Stegostoma tigrinum: one gene and its partners. The main gene of each other region encodes a partner of the protein of the gene in region 2 in a complex. Links are inferred from orthologs where the notes say so. Each region holds a gene or a part of one and is shown on either strand. Other genes may lie near its edges.

The links.
Region 1: washc5 (region 2) and washc4 share a complex: the UniProt entries of both Homo sapiens proteins name them as parts of the WASH core complex. The link is inferred for Stegostoma tigrinum from reciprocal best matches to the Homo sapiens genes WASHC5 and WASHC4.
Region 3: washc5 (region 2) and washc3 share a complex: the UniProt entries of both Homo sapiens proteins name them as parts of the WASH core complex. The link is inferred for Stegostoma tigrinum from reciprocal best matches to the Homo sapiens genes WASHC5 and WASHC3.
Region 4: washc5 (region 2) and wash1 share a complex: the UniProt entries of both Homo sapiens proteins name them as parts of the WASH core complex. The link is inferred for Stegostoma tigrinum from reciprocal best matches to the Homo sapiens genes WASHC5 and WASHC1.

The regions. Positions count from the first base shown.
Region 1 is NC_081378.1:53,491,655-53,499,641, forward strand, and holds the start of washc4 (WASH complex subunit 4), read right to left. Parts: upstream 3,015-7,987; 5' UTR 2,988-3,014; coding exon 2,927-2,987; intron 1-2,926. UniProt on the Homo sapiens protein: Acts as a component of the WASH core complex that functions as a nucleation-promoting factor (NPF) at the surface of endosomes, where it recruits and activates the Arp2/3 complex to induce actin polymerization, playing a key role in the fission of tubules that serve as transport intermediates during endosome sorting.
Region 2 is NC_081358.1:47,566,360-47,574,344, reverse strand, and holds the start of washc5 (WASH complex subunit 5), read right to left. Parts: upstream 3,013-7,985; 5' UTR 2,687-3,012; coding exon 2,501-2,686; intron 1-2,500. UniProt on the Homo sapiens protein: Acts as a component of the WASH core complex that functions as a nucleation-promoting factor (NPF) at the surface of endosomes, where it recruits and activates the Arp2/3 complex to induce actin polymerization, playing a key role in the fission of tubules that serve as transport intermediates during endosome sorting.
Region 3 is NC_081371.1:60,015,448-60,023,072, forward strand, and holds the start of washc3 (WASH complex subunit 3), read right to left. Parts: upstream 3,021-7,625; 5' UTR 2,977-3,020; coding exon 2,926-2,976; intron 1-2,925. UniProt on the Homo sapiens protein: Acts as a component of the WASH core complex that functions as a nucleation-promoting factor (NPF) at the surface of endosomes, where it recruits and activates the Arp2/3 complex to induce actin polymerization, playing a key role in the fission of tubules that serve as transport intermediates during endosome sorting.
Region 4 is NC_081371.1:25,519,426-25,526,425, forward strand, and holds the start of wash1 (WASH complex subunit 1), read right to left. Parts: upstream 3,009-7,000; 5' UTR 2,777-3,008; intron 2,771-2,776; exon of another isoform or gene 2,590-2,770; intron 1-2,589. UniProt on the Homo sapiens protein: Acts as a component of the WASH core complex that functions as a nucleation-promoting factor (NPF) at the surface of endosomes, where it recruits and activates the Arp2/3 complex to induce actin polymerization, playing a key role in the fission of tubules that serve as transport intermediates during endosome sorting.

The DNA of each region.
Region 1 (7,987 bases), on a different chromosome or scaffold from region 2:
CTGGTCAGTTTAATATTAGAGGTAGGTAAAATTTAGAAAAAATGAAAGCAATTAGAATGGGGACTTGAAGAGGTGCAAATTAATTTAGAAGAACCCACTTGGATTTTAAAAGGCAGGATGTAGTTGACTAATAGGCCTTCTTACCCTGAAGTCATGAGACAGGATGAAGGGAAAGCAAAGAACATTGCCAAAGTGATGTTTAGAAAAGTTTGACATCATACTACGTTAAACAGGCTGGGTAATAAAACTGAGGTTCATAAAATGAGGATCAGTGTCAGGGTAGATTAAAAAAACGGGTGCTATGGTTAAGTTGTTTATAGACTGGAAAGTCAGTACTACAGCCAATTTTTGTTTGATATATAGATATAATACAGTATTAATGCCACAGTTATTAAGGGCATGCAGAAACAGAGGGAACTGGCAACTCATCTGCATAGATCCTTGAAGATGACAGTACAAACAGCAATTAGGAAAGTATACATCATGAGCTTTAGGAAGTAGACAAATTGGGTACAAAAGCAGGGAACTTGTAGTAAATCCTTATAAATCTTTATAAACCGCTGGGCTATATGCTAGTGTGGAAATATGAATTCTGAAAATGCTGAGAAACAAGTGGAAGGTGGATGTCAAACTGTTGTAAAAGCTCAGATCAGGGTTTGGCTAATTGCAAGCTGAGAGAAATATCAAGTTTTGAGAAGATTTGTAGCTCAGGTTGAGGTTCTGGATGTGAGTTTGCTCGCTGAGCTGGAAGGTTAGTTTTCAGACGTTTCATCACCAAACATCACCAGTGAGCCTCCGACGAAGCGCTGGTGTTATGTAAATAGAAAGCGGGACATAACACCAGCGCTTCGTCGGAGGCTCACTGATGATGTTTGGTGATGAAACGTCTGAAAACTAACCTTCCAGCTCAGCGAGCAAACTCACATTTAGAGAAATATTTTTGTTTGTCGATCTCCATAACAAGACATCAAAGATAAGAACTACTACGTTGTGTTGACTACGTTAAAAAAAATCTCCTACGCAATAAACAAATGGCAGTGTGCAAGCAACATGTAACTTAATGAAATACTAATGGGTATTGAGGTTGGTTGTATCGCTGAGCTGGTTAGTTGTTCCTCAGATGTTTCGTTACCCTGCTGGGTAATATCATCCATGGTCATGGACAGGACCAATGTCATCTAGAAGATCCCCTGCAGAGACTGTGAGAAACACTATATTGGACAAACAGGAAGGAAACTAACAACAAGAGTATACGAACACCAAGTGGCTACTAAAAGACATGACAAATACTCACTCATCTCAATCCACTTTCAACTGGAAGAACATCAAAATCCTGGGACAAACTAAGCAGAGACAGGTGTGGGAATTCCTAGAAGCCTGGTACTCCACGAAGAAAGCCATCAATTAACACACAGAACTTGACCCCATATATACTCCACTACAAAGGAAAACCTGAAGTAAGGCAATCCAGCTCAATGGACTCCAGAGTTTAAAAACCAGGCGGGAAAACACACCAACACTTCATCGGAGGTTGCACTGACGATGTTACCCAGTAGGGTAATGAAACGTCTACGGAGCAACAAACCAGCTCAGCGAGCCAACCAACCGCAACACCCACAACCCGAGCTGCAAATCTACTCCAAAACCTTGGAGATACTAATGGGTAATAATGAAATTATCATAAAGTAATCAGGTTGGTGAAGTCAATGGTAAAATCATCAGAAACTTAATGTAGCACCAGGCTAGACATAAAAGGGTACAAGAAGTGTCCTGATCCTCAACACAATTAAGAGAAGATAATAGTCAACAGACACACAGGGCAAGAAGAATATAGCAAACGCCAACCAACAAGTCCAAAGAAGATGTCAATAGGAACAGATGGTAACAACTAAGTAAACACCATTTTGTCATGTTACTTATATTTCTACCAAACATACATACTACTGCTTATGCCAAATACCTCTGACATGCAGTGTTCATATTTATTATAATAAAAAGGTTCCAAACATTATTTTGAACTCAAAAGACCTAAACTGGAGCACTACATCTAATTTTGGTCACAGTGCCTGCAGAAGAACATGAGGGCCCACAGAAGGGTGCAGTAAAGATTTAACAGAATCAATCACTGGATCTTTAATCCTAGCTGGAGAATCTGGTGGTTTGCCTCGTTGAAGCAAAAGAGATCATGGGATGTCTAACAGATGTAGAATGCCAGGTTTAGATAAAACTCAGGTATTTCCATTATTTGATTGCACAAGGACAACAGTGCACAGATTGAAGATTTTGCATAGGAGATTCAAAGGGCAAGAAACTCTACTAATGAGGGTATTGGAAACTGATACAGTTAATGATTTCAAAAGACAAATGGAAACTCTGTTAAAGGGAAATAGATTTGTGGGGTTACAAGGATAAAACAAGAAAATAGAACTGACAGGTTTGCTCTAAGAGAGCTATGAAGAACTCATTATACCAAATGATCTCTATTATGATGCACCCATCAATTAACAGACCGAGGAAGGGCAATATCCGAAACGTTGACTGTTCCTTTCCTCCAAATGCTGCCTGGCCTGCTGTGTTCTTCCAGACTCCCGCTTGTCTAACCACTTAACAGACTGCACTGAGACACAGTAGACCACAGATTACATTCCAGCGTTAGGAACTGCTGCAAACAATGTTCACTGTACCGAATCGGATCAATGGTTAAGATCATTAGATGCTGATGATTTAGGGGAAACTGACAGCCCAAGGCTTGGGGGGAAGAGAATAGTGGAAAGAAGAAGAGTCCCTTCTATGGTGGGAGGGGGCAGATTGGCCGGGGGGCGGGGATAGATGAGAAATGGAAATTAGAAGAGAGTATTTCTCTGGGAAAGAAGGCTTTTCTTTCCCCATAGCAAAGCCCGGGCCTGAAGCACAGCTCGAAACTCACTCTGGGATCCTTCATCGAAGCGGTCAAACTCCCAGTCCCGGGCCTGAACATCCAACGCCATCTTTACATCCCGTGACCAGACCCAGGCAAGTCCCGCAACTGCACGCACTGCGCCAGCGCTCAGCCCCAATGCCCTCTGGGAGATGTAGTTTTCAGGTGAAAGGTAACAGGCTTAATTTTCTGAGATAATGGGAACTGCAGATGCTGGAGATTCCAAGATAATAAAATGTGAGGCTGGATGAACACAGCAGGCCAAGCAGCATCTCAGGAGCACAAAAGCTGACGTTTCGGGCCTAGACCCTTCATCAGAGAGGGGGATGGGGGGAGGGAACTGGAATAAATAGGGAGAGAGGGGGAGGCGGACCGAAGATGGAGAGCAAAGAAGATAGGTGGAGAGGGTGTAGGTGGGGAGGTAGGGAGGGGATAGGTCAGTCCAGGGAAGACGGACAGGTCAAGGAGGTGGGATGAGGTTAGTAGGTAGCTGGGGGTGGGAGGAAGGGATGGGTGAGAGGAAGAACCGGTTAGGGAGGCAGAGACAGGTTGGACTGGTTTTGGGATGCAGTGGGTGGGGGGGGAGAGCTGGGCTGGTTGTGTGGTGCAGTGGGGGGAGGGGATGAACTGGGCTGGTTTAGGGATGCAGTGGGGGAAGGGGAGATTTTGAAACTGGTGAAGTCCACATTGATACCATATGGCTGCAGGGTTCCCAGGCGGAATATGAGTTGCTGTTCCTGCAACCTTCGGGTGGCATCATTGTGGCAGTGCAGGAGGCCCATGATGGACATGTCATCAAGAGAATGGGAGGGGGAGTGGAAATGGTTTGCGACTGGGAGGTGCAGTTGTTTGTTGCGAACTGAGCGGAGGTGTTCTGCAAAGCGGTCCCCAAGCCTCCGCTTGGTTTCCCCAATTAATTTTCTGGCCTGTGAACTTAAATCAAAACTAACTTGAAACCTGAACTGTGTTTCTCCCTCCACAGATACTTTAGGATCTGCTCAATTTCTTTTTAGCACTTTCTGCTTTTATCTCTGTGTGAATGTGTTGGGGCAGGAGGCCGGATTCGGTTAGGAATTAAAAACCTGATTATAAAACTGCTTCATTTGCTGTTTGAGATGTCCAGTATTTCTGAGAGGTACTATATAAATGCAATGTTCAATCATGCTTTAAACGTAGTTAAAGACCCTTTGGGCCATGATGCCTGTGCTGACTCTAAGCTTATTCCACCATTTGCGAATACTAGTGAATATGATTGGTGAACTATAAGCACGTACAGCATTTTGAAATCTGAAAATTATCCTGCAATGAAGAATCTACTGATGACCATGAAGCCATTGTCGATTGTCAGAAAAAACTATTTGGCTCACTAATGTCCGTCAGGGAAGGAAATCTGCCATTCTCACCTGGTGTCACCGACATGTGACCCCAGAACCACAGCAATGTGGTTCACTCTCAACTGCTCTCTGAAATGGCCGAGCAAGCCACTCTGTTGTATCAGTCACTGCAAAGTCTCAACAAAGAAATGAAACTGGCTGGACCACATGGCATTGACTGAGGCACTGGAATAGACAACAACAGAAACAGCCCTGTAAACCCGGCAAAGTTCTCCTTACTAACATTTTAGCCTAATGCCAAAATTGGGAGTGTTGTCTCACAGCCTAGTCAAGCAGCAGCCTGACCTAATCATACTCATTGAATCATATATCATAAGACAATATCCTGGACATCAACATCATGAACAAAATAAAAACAGAAAATGCTAGAAACACTCCGTAGGCCTGGCATCATCTGTGGAGAGAGAGCAGAGTTAATGTTTCACATCCAGTGACCCTTAGAAGACGTCACTGTCTTCTTAGAACAATCCCATCACCATCTTTGGACGTGTCCTGTCCCACTGGTAGGACAGGTGGTGGCACAGTGGCATGCAATAGGGAAGGAGTTTTTCTGGGTCCCCTCAACATTGACTGCAGACCCCATGAAATCTCTTGGCTTCAGGTTAAACATTAGCAAGGAAACCTCCTGTTGGTTACCAGGTACTGTCCTCCCTCAGCTGATGAATCAGTACTCCTCATTGTTGAACAACACTTGGAGGAAGCACTGAGGCTAGCATGGGCGCAAAATATGGGTGATTTCAACGTACACCCCCAAGGGTGGCTTGGCACCTGCACTCTGGTTAAGCTTGTTTTTTATTCATTTGTGGGATGGGGGCATCACTGGCTTATGAGCATTTATTGCCCTTCCTAGTTGCTCTTGAAAAGATGACGTCTTCTCGTACTGCTGCAGTCCATGTGCTGCAGATAGAGTCCACAATGCTGCTTGGGTTCTAAAGGATACAGCTGTTATACTGGGTCTGCAGAAAGTGGTGAGAGAACCAAAAAGAGCAAAAAACTTACTGTAAAATTAGGGAGGCAACAGCCTAGTGGTATTATAGCTGGACTGTTAATCCAGAGACCCAAGTAATGCTCTGGGGACTCAGGTTTTGAATTCTGCCCTGGCCAATCTGGAATTAAGCATCTAATGAATTTATGAATCCTTGCTGATTGTTGGAAAAAAAACTATGTTTTAGGGAAGGAAACTGCAATCCTTACCTGCTCTGGTCTACACGTGACTCTAGACAGACAGCAATATGGCTGCCCTCTGGGATGGCCAATAAATGATGGCCTGGCCAGCAATGCTCTCACCCCTTAAATAAACAAACAAAAATATATTTAAACTCATCCTTACCAATCTACTCGCTGCAGATGCATTTGTCCATAGCAGTATTAGTAAGAGTGTCCACTGAACATTCATTGTGGAGACAAAGTCCTTACTTCACAATGAGAAAAATCTCCTTCGTGTTGTGTCGCACTATCATTGTGCTAAATGAGACAGACTTTGAACAGATTTATCAGTTCAAAACTGGGCAATTGAAGAGGTGCTGTGAGCCATCGACAGCAACAGAAATTGTACTTCAGCATAATCTGCAACCTCCTGGCCCAGCATATTCCCCACTCAACCAATACTATCAGGCCAGGTGACCAAGCCTCAGGGCCTTGATTGGGTTTTTTGAAGAGGTGACCAAGAAGATAGATGAAGGCAGAGTGGTAGATGTGGTTTATGTGGACCTTAGCAAGACCTTTGACCTGGTTTCACATCATAGACTGGTTAAGAAGGTTATATCACAAAAGATTCAGGCGAGAGTTAACCAATTGGATACAAAACTGGCTCAACAGAAAGAGGTAGAGGTTGGTGGCAGAGGGCTGTTGTTCAGACTGGAGGCCTGTGAACACTGGTGTGCCGCAAAGAGCAGCGCTGGGTGCACTGTTGTTCATCATTTATATACACATTTTGGATGAGAATGTAGGAGGCATAGTTAGTAACTTTGCAGATAATGCCAAAATTGGTGGTATAGTGGACAGTGAAGAAGATGATCAAACAGAACAATGGGATCTTGCTTAACTCAGCCAGTGGGCCAAAGAATGGCAGATGGAGTTTAATTTAGATAAATGTGAGATGTTATATTCTGGTAAGACAAACCAGGCAGGACCTACACAGTTAATAGAAAGGCTCTGGGCAGTGTTGTTAAACAGGGAGACCTTGGGGTGCAGAGACATAGTTCCTTGAAAATGGCATCACAGGTAGACAGGGTGTGAAGAAGGCATTTGGCACGCTTGCCTTCATTGGTCAGAGCATTGAGTGCAAGAATTGGGATGTCATACTACAGTTGTACAAGGCATTAATGTGGCCACACTTTGAGTACTGCATACAATTTTGATCACCTTGCTATAGAAAGGATGTCATAAAAATGGAAAGAGTGTGAAGAAGATTTCTGAAAATGTTACTGAAACTGCAAGGTTTGAGTTATAAGGAAAGGTTGGATAAGCTGGCACTTTTTCGTGGAGCATTGAAGGCTGAGCCATTATCTTATAGAAGTTTATAAAATCATGAGGGGCATAGACAAGATGAATAACAAAGGTTGTTTTTCCCCCAGACTGGGGGAGTTCAAAACCAGAGGGCGTAGGTTTAAGGTAAGAAAGATTTAAAACCGATCGAGAGGCAACCTTTTCACATGGAGAGTGGTGTGTATATGGAAGAAGCTGCCAGAGGAAGTGGTAGAGGCAAGTACAATTATAGTATTTTAAAGACATTTGGACAGTGACATGAATAGGAAAGATTTAGAGGTATATGGGATATGTGGGGGCACATGGAATTAGTTTAGTTTAGGAAATCTGGGCATCATGGACATGTTGAGCTGTGTGACTATGAATCTAACCCTGGTTCAATGGAGAGTGCAAGACGGCATGCCAGGAGCAGCACCAGGCATACCTGAAGATGAGGTGCCAAACTGGTGAAGCTACCAAGCAGGACACTTGTATGCCAAGCTGCATAAACAGCAAGTGATGAACAGAGCTAATTAATCACACAATCAAGGGACCAGATTTAAACTCTGCAGTTCCGCCACATCCAGTTGTGAATGATGGTGAACAATTAACAACTCACTAGAACATCAGCCTTCCCAAATATCCCTATCCTCAATGATGGTACAGCCCAAAACATCAGTGCAAAAGTTAAGGCTGAAGCATTTGCAGCAGTCTTCAGCCAGAAATGCTAAGTGGATGATCCTCCAATGGTCCTCAGGACTTTAGATGCCAGTCTTCAGCCAATTTGATTCACTCCATGTGATTTCAAGAAATGGTTGGAGGCACTGGATACTGCAAAGACTATGGGCCCTGACAACATCCTAGCAATAGTCCTGAACATTTGTGCTTCAGCAATTGCTGTTCCCCTAGCCAGGCTCTTCCAGTGCAGTTACAACACCGGCATCTACACAAAATTGCCCAGACACATCCTATGCACAAAAAAAGGACAAATCTAACTTGTCCAATCACTCATCACTCTACCTCTCGATAATCAGCAAAGTGATGGAAGGTGTCATCAACCGTGCTATCAAGCAGCACCAGCTCATCAACAACATCCTTATTGTTGCCCAGTTTGGGTTCCGCCAGTGCCACTCAACTCCTGACCTTATTGCAGTCTTGGTTCAAACATAGACACAAGAGCTGAATTCCAAAGATGAGCTAAGAGTGATAA
Region 2 (7,985 bases):
TCTGCCCATGTGGGTGTCCTTTCGAGAGGACTCATATCCTTGGATATTTAGTTCCAGTTCTGATCCCTTGCAACCACATCTGTGATACCCACAGCATCGCACATGCCAATTTCAATCTGCGTTACAAGTTCATTTAGCTAACTTCTTATACCTCATGCACTTAAATACAACACCCTCAGTCCTGCATTAACCACCCTTATCCGCTGTACCTGAAATTAGTTGCCTGACCCTTTCCATACACTGAGATAATAAACTGTGAGGCTGGATGAACACAGCAGGCCAAGCAGCATCTCAGGAGCACAAAAGCTGACGTTTCGGGCCTAGGCCCTTCATCAGAGATGGGGATGGGGAGAGGGAACTGGAATAAATAGGGAGAGAGGGGGAGGCAGACTGAAGATGGAGAGTAAAGAAGATAGGCGGAGAGAGTATAGGTGGGGAGGTAGGGAGGGGATAGGTCAGTCCAGGGAACACGGACAGGTCAAGGAGGTGGGATGAGGTTAGTAGGTGGATGGGGGTGCGGCTTGGGGTGGGTGAGAGGAAGAACTGGTTAGGGAGGCAGAGACAGGTTGGACTGGTTTTGGGATGCAGTGGGTCGGGGGGTCGGGGGGGCGGGGGGGGGGGGGGGGGAGAGCTGGGCTGGTTGTGTGGTGCAGTGGGGGGAGGGGACGAACTGGGCTGGTTTAGGGATGCAGTTGGGGAAGGGGACATCTTGAAACTGGTGAAGTCCACATTGATACCATTAGGCTGCCATCCACCTACTAACCTCATCCCACCTCCTTGACCTGCCGTCTTCCCTGGACTTACCTATCTCCTCCCTACCTATACTCTCTCCACCTATCTTCTTTACTCTCCATCTTCAGTCCGCCTCCCCCCTCTCCCTATTTATTCCAGTTCCCTCTCCCCATCCCCCTCTCTGATGAAGGGTCTAGGCCCGAAACGTCAGCTTTTGTGCTCCCGAGATGCTGCTTGGCCTGCTGTGTTCATCCAGCCTCACATTTTATTATCTTGGAATTCTCCAGCATCTGCAGTTCCCATTATCCCTTTCCATACTCTGTTCTATTACTTGTTCTGGAAGCTTTCTTAACTTCTGCTGAGGATCCCTCCACACTTAATGTTTTCCATAATTTTCCATGCAACTGAACCCCTGAACCCCACAGCCCACTATTGAGTTTATAGTCCAAAAGCCTGGTAGATCCAGGTTCAAATCCCACTTGCTCTGGAAGTGTGTTGCAATATGATCTGAGAAGTTGATTACAAAAATAAATACCCAACATCAGCACTTTTGTTTAATTTTTGGCAGAAGACATTTCTTTTTATTTGTGCAGAAATCAATCTGCACTTTACAGCATATCATTGACTTTAAAAGGTCCATATTCTTTTCAGAGATAATGGTTTCAAAGATACAGCAAATGCAATTTGCACTCTTTTAAAATGCATCACTTTTTGAAAGTGCACCAACAGCTAGACAGCCTTCACATCGCAGGCATATGTCACTAATGGCTTGATGTCTGAGTGCAAATGCTCATATATGGACAGGATCAGTGGCCATTTTAATGGCAGTACCCCAACTACTGCATCAGGAGCAAACACTCTGTTTTGATACACAAGACAACAACTAGTTGAGAGAGATAATGGGAACTGCAGATGCTGGAGAATTCCAAGATAATAAAATGTGAGGCTGGATGAACACAGCAGGCCAAGCAGCATCTCAGGAGCACAAAAGCTGACGTTTCGGGCCTGATGAAGGGTCTAGGCCCGAAACGTCAGCTTTAGTGCTCCTGAGATGCTGCTTGGCCTGCTGTGTTCATCCAGCCTCACATTTTATTATCTTGTAACAACTAGTTGAGTCTGTTTTTACTGAGTACTTTTCAGATAAAATGCCCCAAATTTTGCACACGAAAATATTTCATTCCTCCTTTCCTTCAAAATCATGCAGAGTTCTCAGTGATGTAGCCAATACCTATCGACCAATGATCTCATAATTGCTGGACCTTACAATACACCAATTAAAGCTTTAAAACTGAATTGGGGGGGGGGGGGGGGGGGAGAGAGGGAAATGGTGATGTAGTAACATACACTGTCATTGAAAAATAAAACTAAACATAGTGACAACAGGAAGTACAGTTTTTGGGCAGGAAGTGCACGAGATTTTTTATACACAGGGAGTCAAATGTGATTAATATTTCACCCACATGATTTTCAATGATGACAATTCAACGTTAAATTTTGCTCCCTGTATTTTTCTTCCATTTTAATGCCTGCCTGTGATCTCTGTCATTGCTGTACTCTAGTTATAAAGATTACTGCTTCCAGGTTTGGGAGTCAATGAAGATTTGGTGAATCTTAAAAAGCCTGATGGGTGGCAACTGTGTAAAACATTAAATCCGTCACGTTAATATCAGTGGGCAAACATAAGCTTTGTAATGAACCTCTAATCTGATCGTTTTCCAGCAGATACCAACAGCATATCCGAGGATACTGAAGACTCAACAATTCTCACCTTGAAGTAACTGAAGTCGCAGATGATGTCTCCATACTTCTGCTGTTCGGCCTTGTCTCGGAGTCTGTAAACGGTCGGGATAAACTCGGACAGTCTCAAAAGTTCTGCTATGATGGCATTACCGCGGGACACGATCCTGAGAATTGCCTGCCCACAGAGATTGTTCTCTGCCAAGAAGTCTACCATGGTGGAAGGGGGAAAATCTCCCACAGCCCTGCGGGGGGGTCGGCAGCAGCAACTGAGGCAGAAGAGCCGGATACCTCTAGATTTATTGCACCAACTCTGTTATCATGCTTCCCCTTCTGTCTGCAGCCTTTCCCAGCGGCAGCGAGCAGAAAGGGACGATATAAACCCAGGGACGGAGTCACTCAGTCTGCGCTGCTGACCCGCCGCATCTTTCGCACTGGTACAATACAGGGGAGGAATGCTTCCACACCGCTTTTACCAGGGTTCCCACAGACGCTGTTCAGCCCAGTTCTTCCATGTTGATCATATGATTTCCTTCCTGTCAACTCAACATGTGACCACCAGGCGCAGTCCAGTGATGTTGAGCAAGCCGGCAGGTCCTCAGCGTCAGGTTTGTCGTTTGTGAATCAGTTAAGCAACACCCACTTATCATCCAAAACCACGCAAAAAGTGCCCTTTTCCTTTTGTTTATAATCTGGACATAACTCGTTAAAAAAGACCGAAAATTAACTTTGAGTCTTCTTCCTTTGGAGAGTATTTTAAAGGTTGATCTCATTTAATTTTTGCCAAATCTAAGCTGTGGTTTGCACAAAATTCTGTGGGTGGTGCAACAAATGCTCTTGGAATTGATCTTTGAAAAAAGGACTGGTACAACAACAATTTTCACCTTTGAAATCACTAATATAAATGCAACATAGCAAGGACCAGTACAAGGCATCTGCCTTTGACAACATCGAAAACAATCACTTTATGCGTTACTGAATAATTGAGAGAGTCATTTCGGAAATTTGAGTACTGAAATTGTGGGAAGTTTGTCATTGTCATCACCAGTGCAACAAATTGGAATTGTGGAAAATTCATTTCTCTTCCTGACTCGGCCTTTTCTGTCCTGAAGGCATTAAATGCTACAATAGGACATCAGAGCCTCCTTCTTCAAGTTTTTTTCATGTGTGAGGTTAGGCAGTAGTCAGTCACGTGATCAACAACAAAGACAATATTTCCCAGTCCTGCCCTCTCCCAATGTTTATACACAGGTCACTGGATCTTGATGAGGTATGAGAGTCTAAGCTAATGTTGCCTCTTCCTGAAACAGAGTGGATAAGCACCCAACTATGAGAGCTAATGAGCACACTTACAGCTACACGAAGTGCTGTCTTCACACACTAAGTTATCAAGAGTGTTAAAACAAATCAAATGATCTTCAAGTGTGATATAGTAGTCAAATTATCCTAACTCCACAAAGGAAAAAAAAATTGAAAATCTCCCTCTCCTGTCTGTGCATGTCACACTTCAAGCCAGGAATAAATCTGGTGAATGAAAGGAAGAACTAAGAGCAATCTGAAAATAAAATTGTGAAGATAAGGGAACTTTCCTGTTTCTCCAAGGATAGCAATTTCACTTTCTGTTGGCACTGGTATCAGGTGAACTCTTGCTTCAGCATCAGGCTGCAACTCTATAAGTGAGAACATTCCTGAAGAATGGAAATAAATCTCTGAAACGAGATCCATGAGGTTCCTGAGTAGCACTGAGGTCTTCATGTTTCATACAAGATCGGAGGCCAGTAGGACATTCAGAATGTATCACCCACCTACTAGAGTTAATCTCAGCTGAATATTTAGACTATTAAGATGCTGAGGGCTTAACAGCTGCACTTTCTTTCCATTTATTTCTTCAAAAGATCACCATTCATTTACATGTTCTCTGTTATTGACAAAGGCTTTCTTCTCTATTGCAGTCTGCTGCAAAGATTTCTGTTCCCTTTTCATGAGTTTCTTTTCTAAGTGTGAAGTTACTCCGATTCTTACAAAACGTTTTCTGCAGTTAATTGTTCATTCTCTGACTGGAACGTACTGAAAAACCTCACGAGGTCTGCTGAAACCTTCTGCCTAAGACTCATCTGGTTGCGATAGGGCATTAATAGTAGCACAGTTGGGCTTCCACGACTGGGTTTTTGATGGGTGGCACATGCCAAGTTTGCAGTTTCCCTTGATGCTGAGCATCCACCACAAGTACGCTTTAAGGACTAAGAGATCGGGGATGTTGGACTGCATACAGCAATTTGGAAATTTTGCCTACACCCATAAAACACTTAAAAGATTAGCAACTTATTGTAGTTCAATCAGAAAAGAATACAAGAGAAACTTCAAGTTTTTCCACAGACAGTGAAGTGACTGCCATTTTTGAAGCCTCAGATTGTGAAGCTATGAACAGATATTCAATCATTCATGAAAGAGATCACAGGGCTCAAGCATACACACCAAAACTTCAGGCAGAGTGGATATTACCCCATTTTATTAGAAGAAATCAACTGTATATAGCACATCCTTACAATGTTCAAGGAACATTATGATGTAATTGATACACCCAGAAACAGCCCATCAAGTTGTCGTTCAATGATTGTAAGCAGCTAATAAAAGGCTTTCCATAAAGAAAAATATGCTAAAAGACAAAGTTAGGAACTTGCCAATATTTAATGTTCACAAATTAATAACTACATAAGGGTAGCTGGAGTCTCATTATTCTCCTGTAAAAAAGAGATGGTTTAATTCCAGTCAAGGTATATTCCTTAAAAAGGAAAAGGCAGGAGAAACAAATCCAGAGCTCCTTGAATGAGAAAAGAGATAGAAATTAAATTAAAGACGAAAAATTGTGATTATGATAGGTTTCGGGTAGTAAATACAATTGAGAGCCAAACTAATACGGGAGTTTCAGAGGGAAGTGGAAAAGCAAATACAAGAAGATAAGGATTATGAAAAAAGGTCTGGCAGCAAACATTAAAGGAAATCCCAAATGTTCTCTGTAAACATAGTAACACTAAAAGGTTAGTAAAAGGACACCTAGGGCTGCTTCGGCACCAATTAGAAGATTTATACTTAGAGGTGAGGGGCATAGCTGAGGTGTTAAATAAACAATTTGCACGTCTTTATCTATGAGGTCTATGCTGCCCTGGACATGCTGACAAAGGAAGAAACTCAGTTACGAGAAGTATTGGATGAGCTATTGCTACTTAGAGTAGATTGATGCATCCAAGGATGTTGAAGGCACTGAGGGTGAAAATTACAGAGGCACTGGTGATTATCTTTCAGTGTCTCTGGATTTGACAGTTACGCCAGATGATTGAAAAATTGCAAATATTCCATCCTTCTCAAAAAATGATTGTAATTTTATGGTGACAATTATAGACTGGTCAGTAACTGTGGTGATGGAGAAACTTGGAGAAATGATTCTTCAGATAGAATTTATATTCCCATGGAAAAATGTGGATTAATTTAGAAGGAACAGCATGGATTTGCTAAGAGAAAATCACATCTTGCTAACCCTTTGGAGATTTTTGAAGGGATAAAGGAAAGGATTTATTAGGGGAAAGCTGTTGATGTTGTGTACATGGACTTTCAAAAGTCAATACACTTGTGGGGAATGTCATCAGTTATGAAATCAAAGGTACAGTAACGATGTGGATATTAAATTGTCTGAGTAATGGATGTGAGTTTGCTCGCTGAGCTGGAAGGTTAGTTTTCAGACAGTTCATCACCATTCTAGGTAACATCATCAGTGAGCCTCCGATGAAGCTTCCTAGAATGGTGACAAAACGTCTGAAAACTAACCTTCCAGCTCAGCGAGCAAACTCACATCCAGAAACTCAACCTGAGCTACAAATCTTCTCAAAACTCGCTGCCTGAGTAATGGTTAATGGCATTTTTTGTCTAGAAGAAGGTTTATAGTAGAGATCTCCATGATGTTTCCTGATATACCTGTACAGAAAATAATTTTGAAGTTTTCAGATGATGCAAAGCTTGGCAGAATTGAGAAACGGTGAAGAACACAACATACAACTTCAAAAGGACCTTGACAATTTGGTGGAGTGGACAAGAATTTGGCAGATACAGTTCAATTATGGAGAAGTCTGGGGTGACGCTCTTAAATACAAAAAAAATGGAAAAATGAGACTGCAAAAAATAAAATTCACTGCAGGGTTTGCAGAAGTAGTGAGTCAGGGGTGTATATGTACATAAGTCATTAAAGGTGGCAGGACAGGTGAAGAAAGCTGTTATTAAAGCATAAAATTTTCTAATCTTCATAACTAAAGGTATAAAATACAAGTGCATTGTGGTTATTATTACCTTAAATAAGACAGAGCTAACCTTAGATAGAGTACTGTGGACAGTTCTGGGCACCGTACTGTGGAAAGGATATAAGTGCATTGGAGAGAATACAGAGAGATTTCAGGGATGAGACATTTAAGTTATGAGGAAAGTTTAGAGAAATTGGGACTGTTTTCACAGACACGAGAAGGCAAAGAGGAAATCTGATACAAGTTTTCAAAATGATGAGTTGTCTGGACAGTGTGGGTATGGAGAATCAGTTCCCACTTATGAACAGGATAAGAACAGAAGGGACACAGCAGGCCAAGCAGCATCTTAGAAGCACAAAAGCTGACGTTTTGAGCCTTGACCCTTCATCAGAAAAGGGGGATGGGGAGAGGATTCTGAAATAAATAGGGAGAGAGGGGGAGGCGGACCGTAGATGGATAGAGGAGAAGATAGGTGGAGAGGAGAGTATGGGTGGGGAGGTTGGGAGGGGATAGGTCAGTCTGTGGAGGACAGACAGGTCAAGGGGGAGGGATGAGGTTAGTAGGTAGAAAATGGAGGTGCGGCTTGAGGTGGGAGGAGGGGACAGGTGAGAGGAAGAACAGGTTAGGGAGGCGGGGACGAGCTGGTTTTGAGATGCAGTGGGAGGAGGGGAGATTTTGAAGCTGGTGAAATCCACATTGATACTATTGGTCTGCAGGGTTCCCAAGCGGAATATGAGTTGCTGTTCCTGCAAACTTCGGGTGGCATCATTATGGCACTGCAGGAGGCCCAGGATGGACATGTCGTCTATAGAATGGGAGAGGGAGTTACAATGGTTTGTAACTGGGAGGTGCAGTTGTTTATTGCGAACCGAGCGTAGGTGTTCTGCAAAGCGGTCCCCAAACCTCCGCTTGGTTTCCCCAATGTAGAGGAAGCCACAATGGGTACAGTGGATGCAGTATACCACATTGGCAGATGTGCAGGTGAACATCTGCTTAATATGGAAAGTCATCTTGGGGCCTGGGATGGGGGTGAGGGAGGAGATGTGGGGGCAAGTGTAACACTTCCTGCGGTTGCAGGGGAAAGTGCCGTGTGTGGTGGGGTTGGAGGGGTGTGTGGAGCGGACAAGGGAGTCGCACAGAGAGTGGTCTCTCCAGAAGGCAGACAAGGGTGGGAGTGGAAAAATGTCTTTTGTAGTGGGATCGGATTGTAGATGGCGGAAGTGTCGG
Region 3 (7,625 bases), on a different chromosome or scaffold from region 2:
CACTTCCCTGCACTCTCCCCGTAGCCCTTGATTCCTTGCGAGATCAAGAATTTATCGATCTCTGCCTAGAAGACATTTAATGTCCCGGCCTCCACTGCGCTCCGTGGCAATGAATTCCACAGGCCCACCACTCTCTGGCTGAGGAAATGTCTTATGGTCTTATAACTTCTTCCTGGAGATATTATACGCCTGATGATCAGAGGATTCGATAGGGTGGACAGTGAGAGCCTTTTTTCTCAGATGGTGATGGCTAGCATGAGGGGACATAGCTTTAAATTGAGAGGAGATAGATATACAACAGGTGTCAGAGGTAGGTTCTTTACTCAGACAGTAGTAAGGGCAATGGAATGCCCTGCCTGAAGCAGTAGCAGACTCGCCAAGTTTAAGGGCATTTAAATGGTCATTGGATAAACGTACGGATGATAATGGAATCGTGTAGGTTAGATGGGCTTCTGATTGGTTTGACAGGTTGGCGCAACATCGAGGGCCTGTAATGTTCTATGTTCTATGATTTATACATATTCAGCTTTTAGAAATCCCTTCAGGGTTTTATCTAACACTTCTGGTCTGGGACTGACACTGACTCTTCACTCTGAGATAAGCTAGTTCATGATAACTTTCCCTTCTCAAAATCACTGGACCTAACCACCATCCTTATTGAACACTTTCACAGGGCTTCCTCACTCATAGTCAAACCGAATCTAAAAGTTCCAGTAGTCACAAACAAAACTCGAAGATCCATTATTTATCTTGCTAATCATAAAACAATCTAAGATAAACACAAATCCATTAGCTGTGCTCAAAAACCCATTCACTCTAAAGTTAGACCTCAAAAACAATTTTAAAAGAAACCACAATTTCTGAGCCAAAGACTAGATATTAAATACAAACCAAAAGAACTGCGGATGGTGTAAATCAGGAACAAAAACAGAAGTTGCTGGTAAAGTTCAGCAGGTCTGGCAGTATCTGTGAAAAGAATCGGAGTTAATGTTTCAGGACCAGTTCTAATAAAGGGTCACCAGACCCAAAACATTAACTCTGATTTTTTCTTCACATAAGTTGCCTGAGCTGCTGAGCTTTTCCCCCATCTTCTGCTTTTGTTGTGGACTAGACATTAAAGTTGCAGACTGAGTTTGGGGCTGCAGTTGGGGATCCATATCAAAGTTTCGGGATCAAAACTAAGGATTAAGTATTAAGATACATAGAATGTAGGAGCAGGAATTGACCATTTGATCTCTCAAGCTTGCTCTGCCAATCATTATGATCATGGTTAACATCCCTTAACCCTTTTAGCCACAAGAGCTTTACCTACCTCTTTCTTGAAAACAGTGTTTTCCACTTGCTGTGCTAGCAAATTCCACGGGCTCACCACTCTCTGGGTGAAATTTGTCCTAACCTACTAAAAGGTTTATCTTGTATCCTTAAGATATGGCCCTTGGTTCTGGACTCCAACAACAGAAACATCCTTCTAGCATTTAATCATCCAGTCCTGTTGAATTTTACAGATTTCAATGAGATCTACCCCCTCATTTTTCTGAATTCCAATGAATACAATCCTAACTGACTCAACCTCTCCTAATATATCTTCCTGCCATCCTAGGAATCAATTCAGTGAGCCTTGACTGCACTATATCTAGAACAACTGCATTGTCCCTCAGATATTGAGGCCACAACTACACACAATATTCCAGATGCTGCCCTACCAAGGCCCTGTATAACTAGAGTGAGACATTCCTGCTCCTGTACTCAAATCCTCTCGCTTTGAGGCCAACAGGGTCATTTGTCTTCTTTACCTTCTGCTGCACCTGTGTGCTTGCTTTCAGCTCCTGGCGAACAAGGTCACCCAGGGCTTGTTGATCATTCTCCTCTCTCAATTTAGTCATTCTTGTAATAATCTGCCTTCCTATTTTTCCTACTAAAGCATATAACTTCACATTTATCCACATGACATGATCTGCCATGCATTTACCAACTCACAGCCTGACCAAATCACATTCTGACATCTTCCTCACAGTTCACCCTTCCTCTTTGTGTCATCTGCAAAGTTTGAGATATTACATTTAATTCCCTCATCTAAATCATTAACATTTAATGTGAATTGCGAGGGTCCAAGTACCAATCCCTGCCAATATCCCACCATTTATTTCCACCCTTTGTTTCCTGTCTGCTAACCAATTTTCAATACACTACTCTCAGATTGATGTGTTTTAGCTTCACACATTAATTTCTTATATTGGACTTTGCGGAAAGGCTCTGAAAATCCAAATAATCCACATCCCAGCTCCCCTGATCAACTCTACTAGTCACATCCGTTGAAGAATTCCCGTACATTTGTCAAACATGATTTCCCTTTTGTAAATTCATGCTGACAGGTATTTAGAAGTTATAATTACATGCTGACATTAGGATTTACAGGTTATGGTTAGTGGGTAAGGATTAGAACATAGAACATAGAACAGTACAGCACAGAACAGAATTAGGTGTTAAAGCTGCGGTTTAGGGGTTTACGTTGAAATTAAGGGGTTATGGTGGGGATAAAGGGGTTAAATTGGATGTAAGGGGGTTAGGATTATTGTTAAGGGGTTATGGTTGGGGTTAGGGTTGGGATCAAGAGGTTAAACTGAGTTTAAGGGGTTTTGGCTGGGAATTAAAGGGTTAAATTGAGTTTAAGTGGTTATGGCTGGGATTAAAGGTTTAAATTGAGTTTAAGGGGTTACGGCTGGGAATTAAAGGGTTAAATTGAGTTTAAGGGGTTATAGGTCAGGTAGGGGAAGGACTCAGGCTGCGGTTAGAGGTTAAGACTAGGGTTTATGGGTGGAAGTCGAAGGTTAGGATAAGATTTAAGGGTTACAGGCTCTCAGTTAACTTTTAAACTATCGCTGATGAAAGCACAGCTCCAGGGATCCCCTGTCTTTCCCCCCTCACCCGGGTCAGGTCGATCCCTGATCCCACCAACGGGAGTCCGTCCGCGTCCATTCCGCCCGGAAACAGCTCCTGACCCCCTGACCCGGAAGGGAAGCTTCGACGGGCAGGGGCGGGAGCACGCGCGTGACCGCAATCACCCGGGGCCGCCAGGGCCGAGTGTGTCACCGTCACCGGGCCCCAGGCCTCGGGCCTAGTGTCCCACCGGAGAAACCCCCATTTCATCACCAGGAGGAAGAGAGCACCCGGTGACGTTCAGATTGACAACAGTCTTCAAAGGTGCTGGAGAAACTCAGCAGGTCTGGCAGCGCCTGTGGGAGAGGGACACACACACTGAGACCTCCCTTCAGACCTGGGGGGAAAACTAGGACCCAAAGGCCTTCCAGGGAAGGCAGGAGGTGGGCAAAGAAACGACAACATCGCCAGACCTGCTGCGTATTTCCAGTAACTTCGTTTTAGTTCAGAAAGGTCCTTGTTTCTGATTGTAGTACCTCAGTTAATCCACCATCTCCTGTTCATTTCTATATATTTCCCACAGCGTTTCCTCAGTTCCCCCGATTCCTCCTCGTAGCACAGGCGCCAACCCGTGATTGTCAATCTGACCAGTTAAAGATGCAGACTCTTTGAACATAAACGGTGGCTATTTGCCGTCTAAGCTTTTATTTAAAAAAAATTGTGCCGAGGGATGTGTTTGTCACTTTGACATGGCGGAGAGGTTTCTGCACTCCGATTCTTTGACCGATGCCGTCGGGACGTGGCATCAAGGCTGGGGACGGAGGCGTCAAAGTGCGGTCCAAACAGTCCTCTATGGCAGATAATAAAGTGTGGAGCTGGATGAAGGGTCTAGGCCCGAAACGTCAGCTTTTGTGCTCCTGAGATGCTGCTTGTCCTGCTGTGTTTTTCCAGCCTCACACTTTGTTATCTTGGATTCTCCAGCATCTGCAGTTCCCATTATCTCTGATACAATCGTCCTCTATGGCAGAACAGGCGAAGAAAAATCACACGAATTGTAATGGTGGAAAAAGCTGCAGATGCGAGACAGTGCTGGTGTTAGCAGTTCAACACATCACTGAACTCTGACAACAAACGGCTCGGTGGTTTGCACTACAGCCTCACAGCGCCAGGGACCCGGGTTCGATTCCAGCCTCTGTGCGGTTTCCTCCCACAGTCCAAAGATGCGCAGGCTTAGGTGGATTGGCCATGCTAAATTGCCTGTAGTGTTCACGGATGTGTGGGTTCCAAGGGGTGGTGTGAACTTGTTAGGCTGAAGGGCCTGTTTCCACACTGGAGGGAATCTAATCTTTTAAAAAACACCAGTCAAAATCACATGGACAATGGTAACACCCCAAGATCCCTATACTAACATAGCAAAAATGTTTTTTGCTAACCATAATCTGGTTTCCAAGCCTTGTGGCAATGGAAATTCGGCAACAGGTTCAGGGCTGTGAACACGAAAAATAATCTGCTGTCATGAGATGGAGGTCACTGGGCACCTATGTTGGTGTCATTGACAACAGTATCTGTGACTGAACAATTCCCTTCAGAATACCTTCTGTTCACCCTAAAAGGGAAGGGGAGCTAGAAAAGACACCCTAAAATTAGGCTGACCCACTATCTCCTGGCAGGGGAACCATAATCCCGTGGGATTACCATCTTGGTGGTCAAAGAGAGAAAACTTTAAATTGCATAACTTGGTATGTTGGAACATGAGAGGTAATCTTAAGAGTTACCATCCGGGAGGAAGTGTGTACTTATATCATGTGAACTATCAAGTTTCAATATTATCATGAGGTAGTAGGAACTGCCGATGCTGGAGAATCAGAGATGACAAGGTGTAGAGCTGGGTGAACACTGCAGGAAAGCTGACGTTTTGGGTCAAGACCCTTCTTCAGAAATCTGGGTCTCAACCCGAAACATCAGCTTTCCTGCTCCTCTGATGCTGCTTGGCCCGCTGTGTTCATCCAGCTCTACACCTTGTTATCTTTATATTATCATCCCTGCCCTCAATGACATCTGCTGTCCTGGGAAGGGGCATGTGTGGGGAAAGACACCTACTGGAAAGACAAAAGTAACAAGTGACCCTTGTGTCCACAGAGTTGATTTGCCAAGTGGAATAGGATCTTGGAGTCATTGCTTGAACTCCCTATTTCAATAAATGAAATGTATTAACATTATTTCACCTTCTCCTAGACTATCAAACCAGCAGAATAAATGTTCTTCTTTCAAATTAAAACAAAATATTGCAGATGCTGGAAATCAGAAACAGACACAGGGAATGCTGGAGAAACTCAACTGGTCTGATAGAGTGGAGAGAGAAACAGTTAATGTTCTGAGTCCAATATGACTTCTTAAGAACAATTCTGCCAGCGTTTTGTGTGCTTGTTAAACAATTTCCTCAAGCTACTCTTATAAACTTTCTAAGAAAAATCCGTCAAATCATCCCTAAATTTTCTATAATCCAGGGAATACAGGTCTAGTTTGTATAATCTGTGCTCTTAACCATGGGAGCCCAGGTAACATTTTGATGAATCTAAAATAACTCCTTCAATATCCTTCCTCATAGTCCCATTAATCATTCCATTGGAGCACTTCCTATTTCCTTTTTTTACTCTGGTGGCAATTCAGTACATACTTTTTTTCTGTACCTCGGCAGAATCTGGATAGATAGGACTTGGCTGTTCTTGTTGTGGAAAGCCCTTGAAGACAGACTGTGATCTTTGTCTTTTTAAATAGCTTCTTGTTTTTCTGACCTACAGTTATACGGTGTATAGTTTTAAAGTAACTTTTTATCTTCATTTCTGTTAAGAATTGTACCAAGGCACTGTGTACCTAAGATGGCACTGTAAGTGGTGATTTGTAAACTTCTCACTGTACTTATCTGAGTACGTGACAATAAAGCTAATTCAATTCAATTCAAATTACTGAAAGCTAACATACTGGTACAAAATTCAGTTAAGACAACAAATGGTATGTCGGCCTTTATCGCAACAGCATTTAACTACAAGGTTTACAATGTCTTTCTACAATTGTATAGAACCTTGGTGAATATTCACATGTGGGATGTGGGCGCCACTGGCTTGACCAGCATTTGTTGCTTTTCCCGAGTAAGACCTTGAGGAGATGGTGCTGAGCTGCCATGGACAGTTGTAGTCCATGTGCTATAGATATGCCCATTATGCTGTTAGGGAGGGAGGTATAGAAATTTGACTCAGCAACACTGAAGAAATGGTGATATATTGCCAAGTTAGGATGGCACATGGCTTGAAAGGAAGCCTGCACATGGTGTTTCCATGTATCTGCTACCCTTGTCCTTCTAGATCAGTGATTACAAACCCTTGCAATAACATGGCACACTCCAATGAGACATGTAAAAATTCCATGGCACACCGACTTTTTTCAGCTGAATTGATTGCTCATAAATGTCACATTTACTTGCATTTACTTTGGTTACAGCCTTACTAGACAGGTTTGCAAGATAATGCATACAACAAATTATCCATTTCATCTTCAACTGTGTTCTAAGACTAGGACTAGTGGCTTAACTAAAACAAATTCGAAGCATATTCACCTCAAAATCTGTGCTAAAATGGAAACATATCTAGGCAGGTAGTCCAGCTCAACAATTACACAAGTGACTGTTTACTATGGACATGCAATTTCTTCTCATCTTGGAGATACAATCCTTAATCATTGCATATGCTCCGACCAGATGTTTGGATCTGCCTGTGCAACCAGGCTTCATAAGAAGTGAATATCCCACCTTCCGCACATGCAAGGTATCAGAAGTCTATGTGAAGGGGTGCTGCTTCCCGAGAATTTCATGGCACATTTCTCACCTTTCCACATTTGGAAAACTTCTGTTCTAGATGGAAGTGGACATGGATTTAGGAGGTGCGGTATAAGGATCTTTGGTGAATTTCCGCAGTAAATTTAGTAGATAGTATACGCTGGTCCTCCTCAGTGTCAGTGTTGGAGGGAGTGGATGTTTGTGGATGTGGTTACACTCAAACTGCTGCTTTGTCCTGGGTGGTGTCAAGCTTCTTCAGTGTTGTTGGCGATGCACTCATCCGGGCAAATGGGGAGTATTTCATCACACTACTGACTTGTACCTTGTAGAAAATGAACAAGCTTTGGGGAGTCAGGAGATGAGTTACTCACTGCAGTATTTCTAGCCTCTGACCACCTTTTATAGCTACTGTATTTATATGCCTAGTCCAGTTGAGTTTCTGGTCAATGGTAACCCCCAGGATGTAGACGGTGGGGGATTTAGTGATCTATTGCCATTGAATATCAAGGGGAATGGTTAGATTATCTCTTATTTGCATTTGGTAGATGCTAGTGTTAGTGCTAGTTGTATGGCAAGTTCTGGAGCACATGTCTTAAGTACTGTTGCTGGAAAGTTGTCAGGGCCCATTGGCTTAGCAGCATTTACTGTCTCTAACCAATACTTGATATCATGAGGAGTAAATTGAATTAGCTGAAGTCTGGTATCTGCAATGCCACAGCTTTGGAGGAGGCTGAGATGGATCATTCATTCAGCACTTCTGGCTGAAGATTGTTGCGACACTTTTATACTGATATGCTGGGTTCTCCCATAATTGACGATGGGGATAATTGTTGAGCCTCCTCCATTGATTTATTTAATTGTCCACCACAATTCATAACTGGATATGGACTGCAGAGCTTCGTTCTAATCCAATACC
Region 4 (7,000 bases), on a different chromosome or scaffold from region 2:
CCAATGTCCTGTACAGCCACATGACCTCCAAACTCCCGTACTCAATGCACTGACCAATAGTGTCGAGTGAACCAACTGCGCTCTTCAGTACCCTGTCTGTCTGCAACTCCACTTTCAAGGGACTACAATCCTGCATCCCAAGGTCTATATGTTTAGCAACATTCCCCAGGACCCTACCATTAAGATGTACAAGTCCTGCCCTGATATGCCTTTCCAAAGCACAGCACCTCACCTTTGTCAAACTTAAAATATATCTGCCACCCTTTAGCTCATTTGATCAAGGTTCTGTTGTACTCTGAGGTAACCTTTACTGTCCACTACAGCAATTTTGGTGTCATCTGAAAATTTACTAACTATACCTCCTAGGTTCACATCCAAATCATTTGTATAAATGACAAAAAGCATTGGGCCCAGCATCAATTCCTGCGGCACACTGCTAGTCACAGGCCTCCAGTCTAAAAAGCAACCATCCACCACCACCCTCTGTCTCCTGCCTTTGAGACAATTTTGTATCCAAATAGCCAGTTCTCACTGTATTCCACATGACCTAACCTTGTTATTAGTCTACCACGCGGAATCTCATTGTTTATATGGACTTCAGTAAGATGGTCAATGTCCACCAGTCTGGCTTCATTCATCCTCTTCAAGCTTCATCAAGTTAGTAAGACACAATTTCCCCACACACAAAGCCATGCTGATTATCTTAAATTAGTCCTTGCTTTTCCAAATACATGTAAATCCTATCCCTCAGAACCCCCTCCAACAACTTGCCCACCACTGTTGTCAGGCTCACTAATGTATAGGTCCCTGGCTTTTCCTTGCTGCCTTTCTTAAACACTAGCGCAACGTTAGCCAACTTCCAGTCTTCTGGCACCACATCCGTGGCTATTAATGGTACAAACATCTCAGCAAGGGGTTCAGCAAATAACTTCCCTAGCTTCCCACAAATTTCTAGGATACACCTGATCTATCCCTAATATTTATCCACCTTTACGCATTTTCAGGCATCCAGGAGCACCTCCTCCGTAATATGGACAGTTTCCACACGTTCTCTAGCTTCCACATCCTTCTCCACAGTAAACATTGATACAAAATAATCAAGGACACACTCAGCCTCTGATCTTCAAAGATACTCAGACAGCATCTTCCAAGACCAGTTCCCATCTAAAAGGGCATAGGCAGAAGATATATGGGAACACCATCACATCCAAGTCACTCACCATCCTGAGTTGGAAATATATCACCGTTCCTTCACTGTCACTCAGTCAAAAACCTGGAATTCCCTCCCTAATAGCATTGCGGGTCAACCCACAGCAGGAGGACTGCAGCAGTTCAAAAAGGCAGCTCACCACCACCTTCTCAAGGGCAACCAGGGACAGGCAAGAAATGCTGGCCAGCCAGCAACATCCACATCCCACAAGAATAAAAAAACTTCAGGTAAATGTCCTCCAAAGCAGCCTTCAATGTACATAACAATGCAGAGTCAGAGTAGAAACCAATATCCAAGTTCCTCAACCATGAGGACAACCTCAATCATGATCTTGGGTTCATGTTGCACTACATGTAATCCTACCATTCTAATCTGTGTATAATCTTCCTTACCATTCTGTTTTGGCACCATCACCTTGATAACTTGTTATGATCTCAACCTTAATTAATTTATACAATTTTGGATTAATTGTTACCCTGGTTAAACCCTTGCAATGCAAGTCTTATATCTATCATGTTATTCCAGTCATTTAGTTTGTCTCCAGCACTATCCTAATTTTGATTTTTTTGTAATTATCAATCAGATCATAGGTCATCCCTTCACTTACACTACTTGTATTTATCTTTTGATACTCTTAATTACCTCCTTATAAATTCTGTGCTTGTGTGCTTCCCTCCACTTTACCTGACAAAGGAGCAACACTCTGAAAGCTTGTGATTTCAAATAAACCTGTTGGACTATAACCCAGTGTCAAGTGACTTCTGGCAAAATTCTTGTTCAGTATCTCACCCATCTGCAGTTCCACACAAAACATTGCTGATCTTTAAGAAGCCCATTTGCTCTCTAGTTACTCTTTTGTCTGTAATGTGTTTGTAGAAATGCTATGCATTCTCCATAACCCTGCTTGCCAAAGCTATGTCCTCTTTTTGCCCTCACGATTTCCCTCAAGTATAATTCTACTGCTTTTACATTCCTCTAGGGACTCACTTAATGCCTGCTGTCTGTACCTGATAAATGCTTCCTTCTTTTTCATAATCAGAATCTCAATTTCTCCAATCAACCAGCATTCCCTACATCAACCAGCCTTGCCCTTCACTCCAACAAGAACCTACTTTCCCTAGACTCCCATTACCTAAATTGTGAAGGCTTCCCATTTACAGCTGTCCTTTTATCTGTGAACGTCTGCGCCCAATCAACTTTTGAAAGTTCTGGCTTAATAACATCACCACTTAGCGACAACTGAAAGTGTTTTCACGATACTTGAGATTGAGGAAATAGACAGCGGATGTGTTGGTCAGAAAGAAGTGCTTAACGTCCATGAACGCCAGGGGTTACTGGTATCCGGTAGATGATTGAAACTGTAAACAGCTCGCTCTCACCCCAGTATCTGTAGATGACTGAAGCTGTGTTCCAGTCTCCGTAGATGATGTAAAACTCATCCCAATCGCTGTCGACGATGAAAGCAGTTTCCATTTAAAGGAACAAACTGTTGCATTTTCCTTGTCAGGAGGCCTGTGCCCACGCATGCGTACTTCACACCCGAGGTTTGCGCATGTGCATACTAACCATTACTTGCTGGACTCTCCCGAATAAAAAAACTAATTAATTAACGCCAACGCCGTCTTCTAATACTCTATCATCACATTTTCATTCTTCACTATTCAAACACAAACATCCTACTTCATAACACAAAGTTTCGAGCTCTAACGACCACAAGCAGGCATCTACGCTTGCGCATTGCTACGACATAGGCGCATGCATATTTTCTCCAGCACGGGCCCAACCAGCTCAGCCCAGCCCAGCAACACACAAATAAACCCCGCCCAACCACGAACAAACCCCACCCACCACCGCAAGCTCCGCCCCCGGATGTTTGTGATTCCTTGTCATCAACATTGAATGAAAATCCTTTGGCTCAGAGGTGGTGACGTTATTACTGCGCCGCAAGACAAAATGGGTCTAGGCCCGAAACATCAGCCTCCCTGATCCACTGATGCTGCTTGGCTTGCTGTGTTTGTGCAGCTCTACATCTTGTTATCCAACAAGACAAAACCTGGTGTGTTTATATCCTGCACACTAATAGCCATAAGACCATAAGACATAGGAGTGGAAGTAAGGCTATTCGGCCTGTCAAGTCCACTCTGCCATTTAAATCATGGCTGCTTCGCATTTCAACTCCACTTCCCTGCAATCTCCCCGTAGCCCTTAATTCCTTGTGAGATCAAGAATTTATCAATCTCCACTTTGAAGACATCCAACGTCCCGGCTTCCACTGCGCTCCGTGGCAATGAATTCCACAGGCCCACCACTCTCTGGCTGAAGAAATGTCTCCTCATTTCCGTTTTAAATTTACCTCCTCTAATTCTGAGGCTGTGCCCACGGATCCTAGTCTCCCTGCCTAACGGAAATGACTTCCCAGCGTCCACCCTTTCTTAGCCATACATTATCTTGTAAAGTACTTCAGTAAAGAAGTAATAGCACTTCATTTAATTTTACGAAGTTAGACCCTGTGTCTCTCTCATGGATGATTATGTGGTTGTCTTTTCAGTTATTCCCTGTGATTGCACACTCGAACTGCAAACTGGGTAGAATAACACTAAAACCAAAAGTCAGAGGAGCAGAAATAGGCCATTCAGTTCATGCAAACTGCTCTGCCATTAAATGACATCTTGGCTGATCCGATAATTCTCAACTCCACTTTCCTGCCTTCTCCCCATAGCCCTTGATTCCCTTACTAATTAAAAATCTGACTGTCTAAGCTTCGAATGTAGTTAATCCTCCAGCCTCAATAGCCAAAGGTAAAGAATTCCACAGATTGATAGAATACCCCTTGAGAGAATAAATTTCTCATCTTCATCCTAACTGGGAGAAGCCATACTTTAAGATTATGTCCTCTGGCCTTGGACTCTTTTAGTAGGGGAAGCAACCTTCTATGCTTGTTTAATCCCTAAAGAATCTTGTATGTTGCAATAAGGTTGCCTATCATTCTTCTAAACTCCAATGAGTACAGGCCAACTCAGCCTCTCCTCAAGACAGGCCCTCTGTAGCCGGCATCTGTTCACTTGACAGCCTCCAATGCAAATATATGCTTTCTTATATAAGGAGCCCAAAAATAGTTACAATATTCCTCAACTGTTGTCTGATGACAGTTGTTTTAGCAAGAGTTCCCTATTTTTATATTCGATTACCTTTGAAATAAAGGCCATCATTCCATTTATCTTCCTGATTACCTACTGAACTTAGATGCTGTATTATTCTGATTTATGCTCTAGAAATCCCAAATTCCTCCGTTCTGTAGCTTCCTGTCTTCTTTCACCATTTCACTAATATTCAGCTCCACTATTCTTTCTTCCAAAGTCATGTTACAAGCTAACTAGCCTATAGTTACCCATTTTTGCCTCATTCTCATTTTAAGTTAAGCTGTTCCAATGGCAGTTTCCCAATCCTCTGGGACTTTTCCAGAATCTAAGGTTTCTTGGAAGATTGCTACCTGTGTGACCACTATTCCTGTAGCTACTTCTTTTAATATCCTAGGATGTCTCCCATCAGGTCCAAGTGACTTGTTGATCTTTAGCCCCATTAGTTTTCTTGCTATTTTTCTTGTCATATTTAGTGTATTTATTTCCTCTCCCCCTTTCCCCCTTGCTAATTTAGTAATTTTGGAATGTTATTCATGCCTTCTGTCATGAAGACTGATGCAAGTACCTATTCAACCCTTCTCATCTGGTTGCCTATTGTTATTTCTTCAGCCTCATTCTCCAAAGGGTCAATGTTAACTTTGGCATGTCCCTTCCTTTTCATATATTTAGAGATGCTCTTGCTGCCCATTTGATATTACAAGCAAGTTTACACTCAAAGTTTATCTTCTCCACCTTTACTTTTTATTCCCAATCCCCTGGCTGATCACTAAGTGGTGCCATGTTGTATGTTTTTCCTTTCAGTTTGATGCTATCCTTAGCTTCCTTGGTTAGGCAAGATTGGGCTTATCTCATTCCTAGAGACTTTCATCCACACTTAGATGTATCTTTGTCATGAACCATGAACTATTTTCTTTAACATCTGCTCTTGTTGCTCACTCGCCTCTTCTGTTTGACTCTTTTCTCAGTTCAATCAAGCCAGCTTGCCCCCATTCTTTTAAATTGCCCTTATTTAAGTTCAGTTCAGTTGTTTTTAACCCAAGTTCCTCCCTCTCAAACTGAATGTTAAATTCTGCCATGATATGGGACCTTTTCCAAGGGGACCTTTTACTTTGACATCATTTATTAAACCTGCCTTTTTGACAATAACCAGACCAAAAAAGCCTGATGCCTGGTTGGATCCACAATACATTGCTCCAGCAAACTGTCCTAAATATGCCATATAAGCTTTTTCTGTGGTTGCGTCTGCCAATCTGACTATCCCAATCGACATGAAGATTAAAGTCACTCATGATTAACATACTGCCTTTTTAACATGCCCTCATTATCTCCTGATTTGTTCTGTGTTCCAATGTATAGCTACTGTCAAGAGGCCTATAGACTACTCCTTCAAATGTCCCATATTATTTGCATTTAAGTAACAGTCATGACCAGAAGGCACCTCAAAGCACTTTATAACTTTGAATGCTTTTTGAAGTGGTCACTATTTACTGCAGGAAATGCAGCAGCCAATATGTGCTCAGGAAGCTGCCACAAACAGCAATATGATACTGACCAGGTAAGCTGTTTTTACTTTAATATTGACTAAGGGATAACTGTTGACTGGGCCCCAAAGATAACTCCATCCTCTTTTAAACAACAGGTTCGTGGACAAGGGCATGCATATCTACCAGAAAACCAACCAGCACCCTCTTTGCATGCTGTATAAATAGTGTATCCTGGTTCAATCAGAGAAAGCAAGAACTGCAACTGCTGGAGTCAGAGAGCACACAGCATGGAGCTGGAGGAACACAGCAGGCCAGGCAGCATTGGAGGGGCAGGAAAAATGATGCTTCAGGTCAAGACCCTTTTACCTGCTGTGTTCACCCAGCTCCGCACTTTGTTATCCCACACTGTCTTGTCTCTGTCCCCTGGCTCAAGTCTTTTTCTGTGTCGTGGTTCTGATGAATGCAAAAAGCTTCATCTTTGTGTATCCTTTCAACAATGTTTAGTGACTTATATAGGTTCAATGTAACAGTGCTGCTCTCATAGTCTACATCCTTATAAATAACACTTGATATACTGTACGCATTGTTCACCAGGCCCTCAGCCTGTCCTGCAAATTCTAATGATTTATTTGTATGTGCACACAGATTCCTGAGCTTCTGCTCCCACTTTACAGTTGTGCCCTGTATTTTATATTGTTTCTCCATTATCTTTATTATTCAAAATGTGTCACATCACACTTCTCCATAGTGAAGGTTAGCTGCCTTCTTTCTGGCCACTCCACCAACTTGCCCATACCCTTTTGAAGTTGCATGCTGTCCTCACAATTTAAACTGCTTGTCTCATGGGTAGATTTTGAAATCGTCCCCATCACACCAAGGTCCAGATTGTTTGTAAATGTTAGGAAATTAAAGCATTCCAACTCTGATGCTTGGGAAACTCCATTACAAGTTATTTCCTAGCCCATCTATTATCTATTAACCATTACTGTACTCTCTGCTTCCTGTCACTCTGCTGATTTGATTCAGGTTGCTAATGTCCATTTTATTCCACGAGTTCTAACTTTGCTCATAAGCTTGTTGTGTGATATCGTATCCTTCTGGAAGTGCGTGTACATCACATGGTCATCCACCCATGCCATTACCTCTTTAAAAAAAAACTCCAATAA